Daphnia pulex: one gene and its partner. The protein of the gene in region 1 binds, or shares a complex with, the protein of each later gene. Links are inferred from orthologs where the notes say so. Each region holds a gene or a part of one and is shown in the gene's direction. Other genes may lie near its edges.

Region 1 (3,728 bases):
AACATTTCTCAAAAGTGGAGCGGATTTTTGTTCAAAAAAGACGGCATATATATTACAGGGCTTTAGGCCATTCATTCGGAATTGCGTAACGCTGTCCTTCTCCTTTCTAATAATTCATACTCTGAGCTTATTGGAGTTTGAACGACACGAACGGCGTCGTGTGTCGTAACATCAATGCCATTCTCTCCTTTTTTTTCTTTCACGCCGAGTGAATGTCTTAATCGTTCACATGTGTCGACGCGCTGCGACACCCAATTTTTTTGTTTTGTTTTCCTCGGGAAAAAAATAAAATAAAAAGCCAAACAGAAAACCACTCGAATAACGGAGCTACAATACAACAAGGCTATCTGGTAGCGAGATCCCAGAAAAGGGGGGTCTCAGAGAACAAAATAAAACCAAATAAAAAATAAGAAAAAAATAAAAAATAAAAAATCATGGCGCTAGCGCGCAGTAAATTTCGTCGTCTTCTCTCGTGGTTCTCACTCGTCGGTTAACCGCGAAACTGGAGGCGGTTTCCTACACATATGGGTGTGTGTGTGTGTGACGCGCCCGACTTTAACGAGAGCCGAGTGGAGAGAAAAACCCTGGGCAACGGAGAACAAATATGTACAATGCATGTAATAAAGTTTAAGGAGAAAAAGAAAAAAACACGGACTAGATGTATCCTCTTGTTAATGCCGTTATGGGCGATTAACTCGCGGCACGAAACCGAATCGTAAAAAAGTAAAAGAGAAAGTGAGACTTATGTATATAGTAGAGCTGCGCGGCATCCTCATTAAGTCGTGATACATAACTTGCACTGATTTCGCCAGCCTCGAAAATATGTATGCACGAAAGAAAGTGATAGCGCAGGAAAGTTATTCCAGCTTTGAAAAAAAAATCATCAATTTTTATGTTTGGAGTCTGAACAATATCCTTTTGAAATAATTCTTCGACCCTACGTCATTGATCTTCGAGCTAGCTTTCAAATTCCATCAGCACGAAAGCTTTTAAAAGCATGGTTCGCCTTTCTTTGTTCATTTTTTTACATATTCGTCTCGCTTTCCATAAATCGTGAGCATCGTGCAAATATCGTGATCGAAAACTTTGGCTACAACTACAAGCTAAATTCGTCCACCTACAGATGGCGTCATTTTCTACGACTACCGACCATTTTTCTCTTCCGACGAAATTTCTTCTGCTGCTGTGTTATCGTTTGAACTAAATTTTACCGAGGAAAAATCTCTGTTGGCGAGGAAGCGTTTTAAATTCTACTTTATCGCATCAATTAAAAAGCCTGCATTATGTTACCCATACGGCTAGCTCGTTTTGGTATTCGCTCGGTAGCTGCCAACTGCAAGCGAATCAACATTGGCTCTCTTTCTCAAGTGCGTATAATATAGTTATACATTTTTGTTTGAAGGGAAAATCAATAATTGATTTCATTAATGTAGGTTGCAAGAGAATTTTCTTCCGATGAAAGACCACAGTTTCCCGGTTCGCGCTCCCAGTGGACTGAAAAGCTAGAATTCATTCGCCCTGACCTCTACGATGGGATCCCAGTCTACAGAGTTATGGATAGGAAAGGAAAAGTTATAGACCCTAGTCAGGATCCCCAAGTAATATTTTATAATCCTATTAAAAGCAACAAATTCTCTAATGACTAACATACCCAATAGTTGTCTCAAGAAATGGTCATCAAAATGTATAAATGCATGACCCAACTCAACACCATGGATAGAATCTTGTATGAATCTCAACGTCAGGGGAGAATTTCTTTCTACATGACAAACTACGGGGAAGAAGGCACACACATTGGGAGTGCAGCTGCCTTAGATCCAAAGGATCTTATTTTTGGACAGTACAGAGAAGCTGGTAAGTAGTTTACCCTTCAAAGGCTTTTTTCAACCATTCTAAAATTGTTTTCTTTCATCAGGAACATTGATGTGGAGAGGATTCACACTTGATCAGTTCATGAACCAGTGCTATGGTAATGTCGATGATGGTGGCAAAGGAAAGCAAATGCCAGTACATTATGGCTCAAAAGAACTCAATTTCGTTACGATTTCTTCGCCGTTGGGTACTCAAATGCCTCAAGGTAATTGTCGATGAAATAACTCTAGAAATTGTTTCCTAACCATTAAGCCCTATTTATTTGCAATAAAGCTGTGGGTGCTGCCTATGCATACAAGAGATCCCAGAATGGTTTGTGTGTCATGTGTTACTTTGGTGAGGGAACATCTAGCGAAGGAGATGCTCATGCCGCCCTAAACTTTTCCGCAACATTAGATTGCCCAGTCATTTTCTTTTGGTAAGTGGTGTTTCTACTTTGACGCGATATGATGAAATAACACTAACCTTTACATCTTTGCGCCAATCAGTCGTAACAATGGTTACGCCATCTCAACTCCTTCCAAAGAGCAGTACCGTGGTGATGGAATTGCCGGCCGTGGCCCCGCTTACGGCATGTTGACCATTAGGGTTGATGGTAACGACGTTTTTGCTGTTTATAATGCCACGCTGAAGGCACGGCAAGTGGCTATCAGCGAGATGCGGCCTGTCCTAATTGAAGCCATGACTTATCGGTTAGTGAAAGGGTAGATTATTTCCTAAAGTGCATGATAATTACCTAATTGGTTGAATCGTTTTCAGAATCGGCCATCACAGCACATCAGACGACAGCACTGCCTACCGTAGCGTTGATGAAGTTCGTTACTGGGATGAGCGTGACCATCCCATTTCCCGTCTGAGGAATTATATGTTATCAAAAGGATGGTGGGGAGATGCTCAGGTACTTACCGTTTTTGCTATGCCCTCACCATGGCGAGGAATGGAGATATAAAAGTTTCTTAATCTCATTGGTGACGTCTTTTCAGGAGAAAGAGTGGAAGGAGGATTGCAAGCGCCAGGTTATGACGGCCTTCGCCCGTGCAGAAAAGAAACTAAAACCCAACTGGAAAGAAATCTTTACTGACGTTTACCATGAAATGCCATCCCACATAAGGTAAACTTTTATTTTTTCTTCTGGCTGACTCAAAAGTATTAATATATTTTGTGTTATCTCTCTTCTTATAGGGAACAAATGAAACAGATGGAAGAGCATGTACAGAAATATGCAGAACATTATCCACTAAAGAACTTCACGAAAGATTAATGATTTAAGATATTCTAGATGTAAACTTGTGTCGTTGTTCAAAGATGATTGATGTTATGAAGCAGACGAGAAAATATTACCAATAATGATACACATATGCTGGAAAGGGATACAGTAAATTATAACTTTGTAGAAGAAAAATTTGTTGGGTTTTATAGGCCACGATCAGTATAATAAGGCCTCGAATGGAATGCTTTCTATTTAGAAATTATGCCCATGGATGCCAATTACGAGGAAAGAATAATCACAGAATATGTTAAGAGTTTAAAAAGTTTCTTTCTTAATACGATATTGGGCAACATGATGATGAAAATAAAGGCACCTAGGCCGACTTAGTTTCGAGACTAGACTCGCTCGAAGGGAGGGTATCGTTACTCATTGTTGGAAATGTAGAAGGGGATCAGATGCTGCTGTAGCAGCAGCTTTATTACCGCTTACAACTAAAGTAGGATCTGGCTTCGGGCGATTATGCAGCTTCGGTGTGCTGGCGAACAGATCATCTAATAAACAATTTGACAGGTGCTTTAGAACGTGCTGGTGCTTTGAGAAAAGGTTTGTATTTTAAAGAGCTTACCGTCATCATCAGAATCGGCAA
Region 2 (4,248 bases), on another chromosome or scaffold:
ATCGTTTGACCGATGAGGGCGACGTAAAAGCGATCGGGAGCGACGGATAATACTTTAACCCACGCGCCAGCCGCCGTCCCCAAACTTCCAATCAACAGCGTCACTCGTAAACCCTATTGAGAGATAAATTTAGACCCGGGAGTTATTTATTTATTATTTTCAATGGCCTGCTGTTATCAGCATTTGCACTCTGAAATTCCTGTTTTCCCATGTCTAGACTGACCATTTTATCCATGACCCAGGCACCTGGAAATATCAATGGAACATAAACCACCATGTAAACCAATGACGTCCAGTTGACAGTTTGACTATCGACGCCGTAATATCTAGATACATCAAACAAAAAAAGATATGAACTCGGTACGTAGCTACTTTTAATACGTATGATAATGATATAGGTTGTACTTGATCAGCAAACTGGTTATGATAGAAAACTGGATCCATTGGAAGGCGTTGAGCATTGAGACCGTGACGAAAATCAAGAGCATCAGCCATCTCCGTGGGTACACTTTGGTGGACAGCATTTGCCGATGATCCTGCGATCCGGTGTTTTTCGACTCGGCTTCTTCCGGCACCGAAATGTGGAAAACGACTATCTCGTTCCCATTTTTCTGCGCATGCTTATTGTGATGTGTCAGTAGATCGTGATCGCTGACTGGGCTGGCCGGCGTCATTTTCGACTCCATATGTCTGATGACAAAAAATGTCAATGTTCGCACTATCGTTTTCAGGGACTGGTGCACTTTGAATAGGAATGAGAACGGCGAATTTTATCGATCGTCTATAGCTTGGTTATAGGCCCGGTTCAAGTGACGGGTCAGGCGACAAATAAAGGCGCCATTCTGGTAATAAACTTAAAAAAATAAAAAAAATACAAATTGATGCTGATCAAATGGTTGTTCTCCGTTATTTACACTTGCGGTCCACACTACTGACTTGACTATGTACGAGTGAGCTTAGACTTACAGTCGTACGCGATTATCCTGACGGATGATTGTTGATGTTGGGCTCTCGTGGGATGCCATATTGATATCCTATCACATTGGGAGCGTCCAGTCAACGAATGCCCTTCAAGGTTGAATTGCCAATCGATTTCGTCACAGCAAACATGGATTCTCATTACATTTTGATGGCCGAGTTCAATTGTGTTGGGTCTATTTGTATACTAGCCCACGAAAAGTTGTAAGGTTTCTTTGTTGGGAGAAAATTGCGGTTAAATGTTGAACTAAATTCTGGATAAAAAGAAAAAAAAATTGTAAATGATCGCTCGCCAACTTGATACGCCATCCGGGTCACATGGGGGCGATAACTTTTTATTTCGTGACCCGCGGAACAGGAAGAAGTGCTGCTCTAATCGATTAGAGTAGACAACAAGGAACGGCATTGCGTTTGGTTCAAGAGATGACCGTTCGCAACGATAGATGGCAGCTCTAGTGATGAAAAAACGAATAATCGGAAGTTGGAATCAGACGATATCGACGTAAAATTGCTAAGTGTAAACATGGCTCTCCGTACTTTCATTAAACGGAATCTCATTCTCAACAATAAATGCCCGTTAAGAATATCTCAGCGGTTGTCTCATTTCACTTTCGTTCCAGATACTGTTTCTGCTTCCGAAGGTTCGCCAATCGGTTAATTTTGATGTATATTGAATGCATGGCATCGTTAAAATGAATTTGATTCGCACGCAGGTGAAACTCAGCGGATGAATTTGTTTCAGGCCATCAATAATTCACTTGATATAGCTCTAACCCAAGATCCAACTGCTGGTAAGTAAACATGACAATTAATTCAAATGGTTTGATTTGCACTTTTTAAGAATTTTGATTTGCTTGCAGTTATCTTTGGTGAGGATGTTGCATTTGGTGGAGTGTTTCGCTGCACAGTTGGCCTCCAGGAGAAGCACGGCAAGTCCAGAGTTTTCAACACCCCACTGTGTGAGCAAGGAATTGCTGGATTTGGTATCGGAGCTGCCACTGCTGGAGCCACTGCCATTGCAGAGATTCAGTTTGCAGATTACATCCTTCCAGCATTTGATCAGGTATCATTCAAGAGCCTGAAGCTATATTCATTATCTCGAAACATTAAACAGGTCTTGTTCGAAATCATTATTTTTGCCAGATATGCAATGAAGCTGCCAAATACCGGTACAGGAGTGGGGGCATTTATGATTGTGGATCTCTGACCATCCGTGCTCCCTGCTCTGCAGTAGGGCATGGAGCGGTGTACCACTCCCAAAGCCCTGAAGCTTTCTTTGCTCATTGCCCCGGACTCAAGGTGAAACCTGAATTTCTTGTCATGGATGATAGGTGACACTGTTTTTTTTTTGTTGTTTTTAATGCGGTTCTGTACGTTGTCTTTAAAAGGTTGTGGTTCCCCGAGGGCCCATCAAGGCCAAGGGCTTGCTCCTGTCGTGCATTCGTGACAAAAACCCGTGCTTGTTCTTCGAACCCAAGATCCTGTACCGTAGCGCCGTCGAACAGGTTCCAGTCAAAGAGTACACTATGCCGTTGTCGAAAGCCGACATCCTAGTCGAAGGTTTGTGTCCATAATCAAATCATCATGTGTTGTGTTGGTCTTATCTTTTTTGAGACGTATAAACATATTTTTGATGTCGGGATTTTATTCGCCCGACGATAAAAAGAGAAACGTCGCCAACATATGGGTTTTATTAATCTGATTTCATTAGGAGATGACATCACGCTGGTCGGCTGGGGCACCCAGGTTCATGTTCTGCGCGAAGTCTGCCAACTAGCCAAGGATCAGCTCAACGTTTCGTGCGAACTGATCGATCTGGTTACCATTCTCCCGTGGGACAAGGAGACCATCGCCCAGGTTGGTAACCCGAACATTATGCCCTTTCTCTCCGTTGCTGTGGGAAAAAATAAAAATTGTTTTTAAAAAAAAGGGAGATACCATAAAAAATGAGAAATTTTGAAGCAATCCGAAACGAGAGTCACATGGTTTAAGTGAAACTTCTCTCTTGACATTTGCGCTGAATGGCTGGAATTGTATTTCTGTTTTCGTTTATCACCCAGCCCTTTTGTTGTTGTTGTTGTTGTTGCGGTGGTTGTAACAGTAGAGCTGCCGATTTCTAATTGTGGGCACAACGACCAGGTTTGGACAAAAATATTCGAATTGTGGGAGGGTCGGTGAGGCGAGACGCGGAAGTGAAACCTGTTGACTTATTATCCAATGTGATTGTCGTTTCTTTTTGCCTCTCTTTCGCCATTTTGTTTATATTGATCTTGGTTGTTTTTACTCTATTCGCCATTTTATTATGATTATTATTTTTCGTTAATCGCTTTCTAACTATGTTTCTCTAGTCGGTGAAGAAAACGGGGCGATTGTTGATAGCCCATGAAGCGCCATTGACGTCTGGATTTGGAGCTGAAATAGCGGCCAGCATTCAGGTAACTTTTAAAAAATAAAAAGGCTGTGATGATAAGGTGAACGATCTCAATCAATGCTTCTCTTTGATTAATTCAACACTTTCTTTCTACCCCGAAAACAGCACGAGTGTTTCCTGAATTTAGAGGCGCCCATTGAGCGTGTCACGGGATTCGACACACCTTTCCCGCACATGTTTGAGCCGTTCTACATGCCCGACAAATGGCGTTGCTTCGAAGCTGTCAAGAAACTAGTAAACTATTAAGAGAGCAATTAAAAAAAAAGTCATGTTTAAAACGAAAAAAAAAAAAATAAAGAATTAAAATTTAATTAAAATCGCTTTCGCCAGAGAGATATGATTGTACATTACATAACTAATCTAAAAAAAAAAAAAAAAAAGGAAATTTTGTTTATGCTCATTTGTTCCCTTCACTGAGGTCGAATGTGTACGTGTCCAGGCGTGCATATGTATGTCTCAAGGGTGCGATTACCGTTGCACACTATTTACCAGCAGTCGGCCTTAGCGCAGCTCTCCTTATCTCGGTAGGCAACATGTATGTACCAGCAATGATATAGTATATATATAATATACAGTATACATACAAATATATTCTATATGTCGACTACACAAAACGCTGATTACGTTGTTTGGGGATCGATCTGGATTAGGGAGAGATCCGTGAGGCGTCCACTAAGCAAATTGACGCAAGAGATTCGGTTTACACGAGTTGACTGCAAACAATTCAAATTTTTTTTATCGGTTTTCTAGATGTTTCCAATGTTTACGATCGGCTCGGTTGAGCCCCCATCCGAATGATTAGAAAACTCACGATCATTGCTCACACACAATGAGCCACC

The links. The genes of interacting proteins can lie anywhere in the genome.
Region 2: the proteins of 2-oxoisovalerate dehydrogenase subunit alpha, mitochondrial-like (region 1) and 2-oxoisovalerate dehydrogenase subunit beta, mitochondrial-like are in contact, whole or in part, in a crystal structure (PDB 1V16), measured with the Homo sapiens proteins. The link is inferred for Daphnia pulex from reciprocal best matches to the Homo sapiens genes BCKDHA and BCKDHB. Residues at the interface, in NP_000700.1 of Homo sapiens: Phe155, Leu185, Gly186, Lys187, Arg189, Gln190, Gly196, Cys197, Lys198, Phe202, Val203, Thr204, Ser206, Pro208, Thr211, Pro214, Gln215, Val217, Gly218, Ala219, Tyr221, Ala222, Arg225, Gly244, Asp245, Ala248, Asn251, Phe252, Thr255, Leu256; in NP_000047.1 of Homo sapiens: Pro89, Thr90, Val92, Asp117, Arg118, Phe120, Asn121, Thr122, Pro123, Cys125, Gln127, Gly128, Ile129, Gly131, Phe132, Ile134, Gly135, Ile136, Val138, Thr139, Asp158, Gln159, Asn162, Glu163, Ala165, Tyr167, Arg168, Tyr169, Arg170, Ser171.

The regions. Positions count from the first base shown.
Region 1 is NC_060021.1:6,462,788-6,466,515, reverse strand, and holds 2-oxoisovalerate dehydrogenase subunit alpha, mitochondrial-like, read left to right. Parts: upstream 1-1,126; 5' UTR 1,127-1,283; coding exon 1,284-1,367; intron 1,368-1,433; coding exon 1,434-1,598; intron 1,599-1,658; coding exon 1,659-1,854; intron 1,855-1,915; coding exon 1,916-2,077; intron 2,078-2,145; coding exon 2,146-2,290; intron 2,291-2,359; exon of another isoform or gene 2,360-2,360; coding exon 2,361-2,564; exon of another isoform or gene 2,565-2,631; coding exon 2,632-2,770; exon of another isoform or gene 2,771-2,855; coding exon 2,856-2,983; exon of another isoform or gene 2,984-3,054; coding exon 3,055-3,133; 3' UTR 3,134-3,228; downstream 3,229-3,728. Other genes in the region: WASH complex subunit 2-like, read right to left, coding at 3,509-3,633, 3,708-3,728. UniProt on the Homo sapiens protein: Together with BCKDHB forms the heterotetrameric E1 subunit of the mitochondrial branched-chain alpha-ketoacid dehydrogenase (BCKD) complex.
Region 2 is NC_060027.1:5,064,289-5,068,536, reverse strand, and holds 2-oxoisovalerate dehydrogenase subunit beta, mitochondrial-like, read left to right. Parts: upstream 1-1,448; 5' UTR 1,449-1,501; coding exon 1,502-1,619; intron 1,620-1,691; coding exon 1,692-1,769; intron 1,770-1,838; coding exon 1,839-2,041; intron 2,042-2,121; coding exon 2,122-2,277; intron 2,278-2,366; coding exon 2,367-2,538; intron 2,539-2,689; coding exon 2,690-2,835; intron 2,836-3,326; coding exon 3,327-3,413; intron 3,414-3,514; coding exon 3,515-3,655; 3' UTR 3,656-3,998; downstream 3,999-4,248. Other genes in the region: feline leukemia virus subgroup C receptor-related protein 2-like, read right to left, coding at 1-113, 224-326, 406-686. UniProt on the Homo sapiens protein: Together with BCKDHA forms the heterotetrameric E1 subunit of the mitochondrial branched-chain alpha-ketoacid dehydrogenase (BCKD) complex.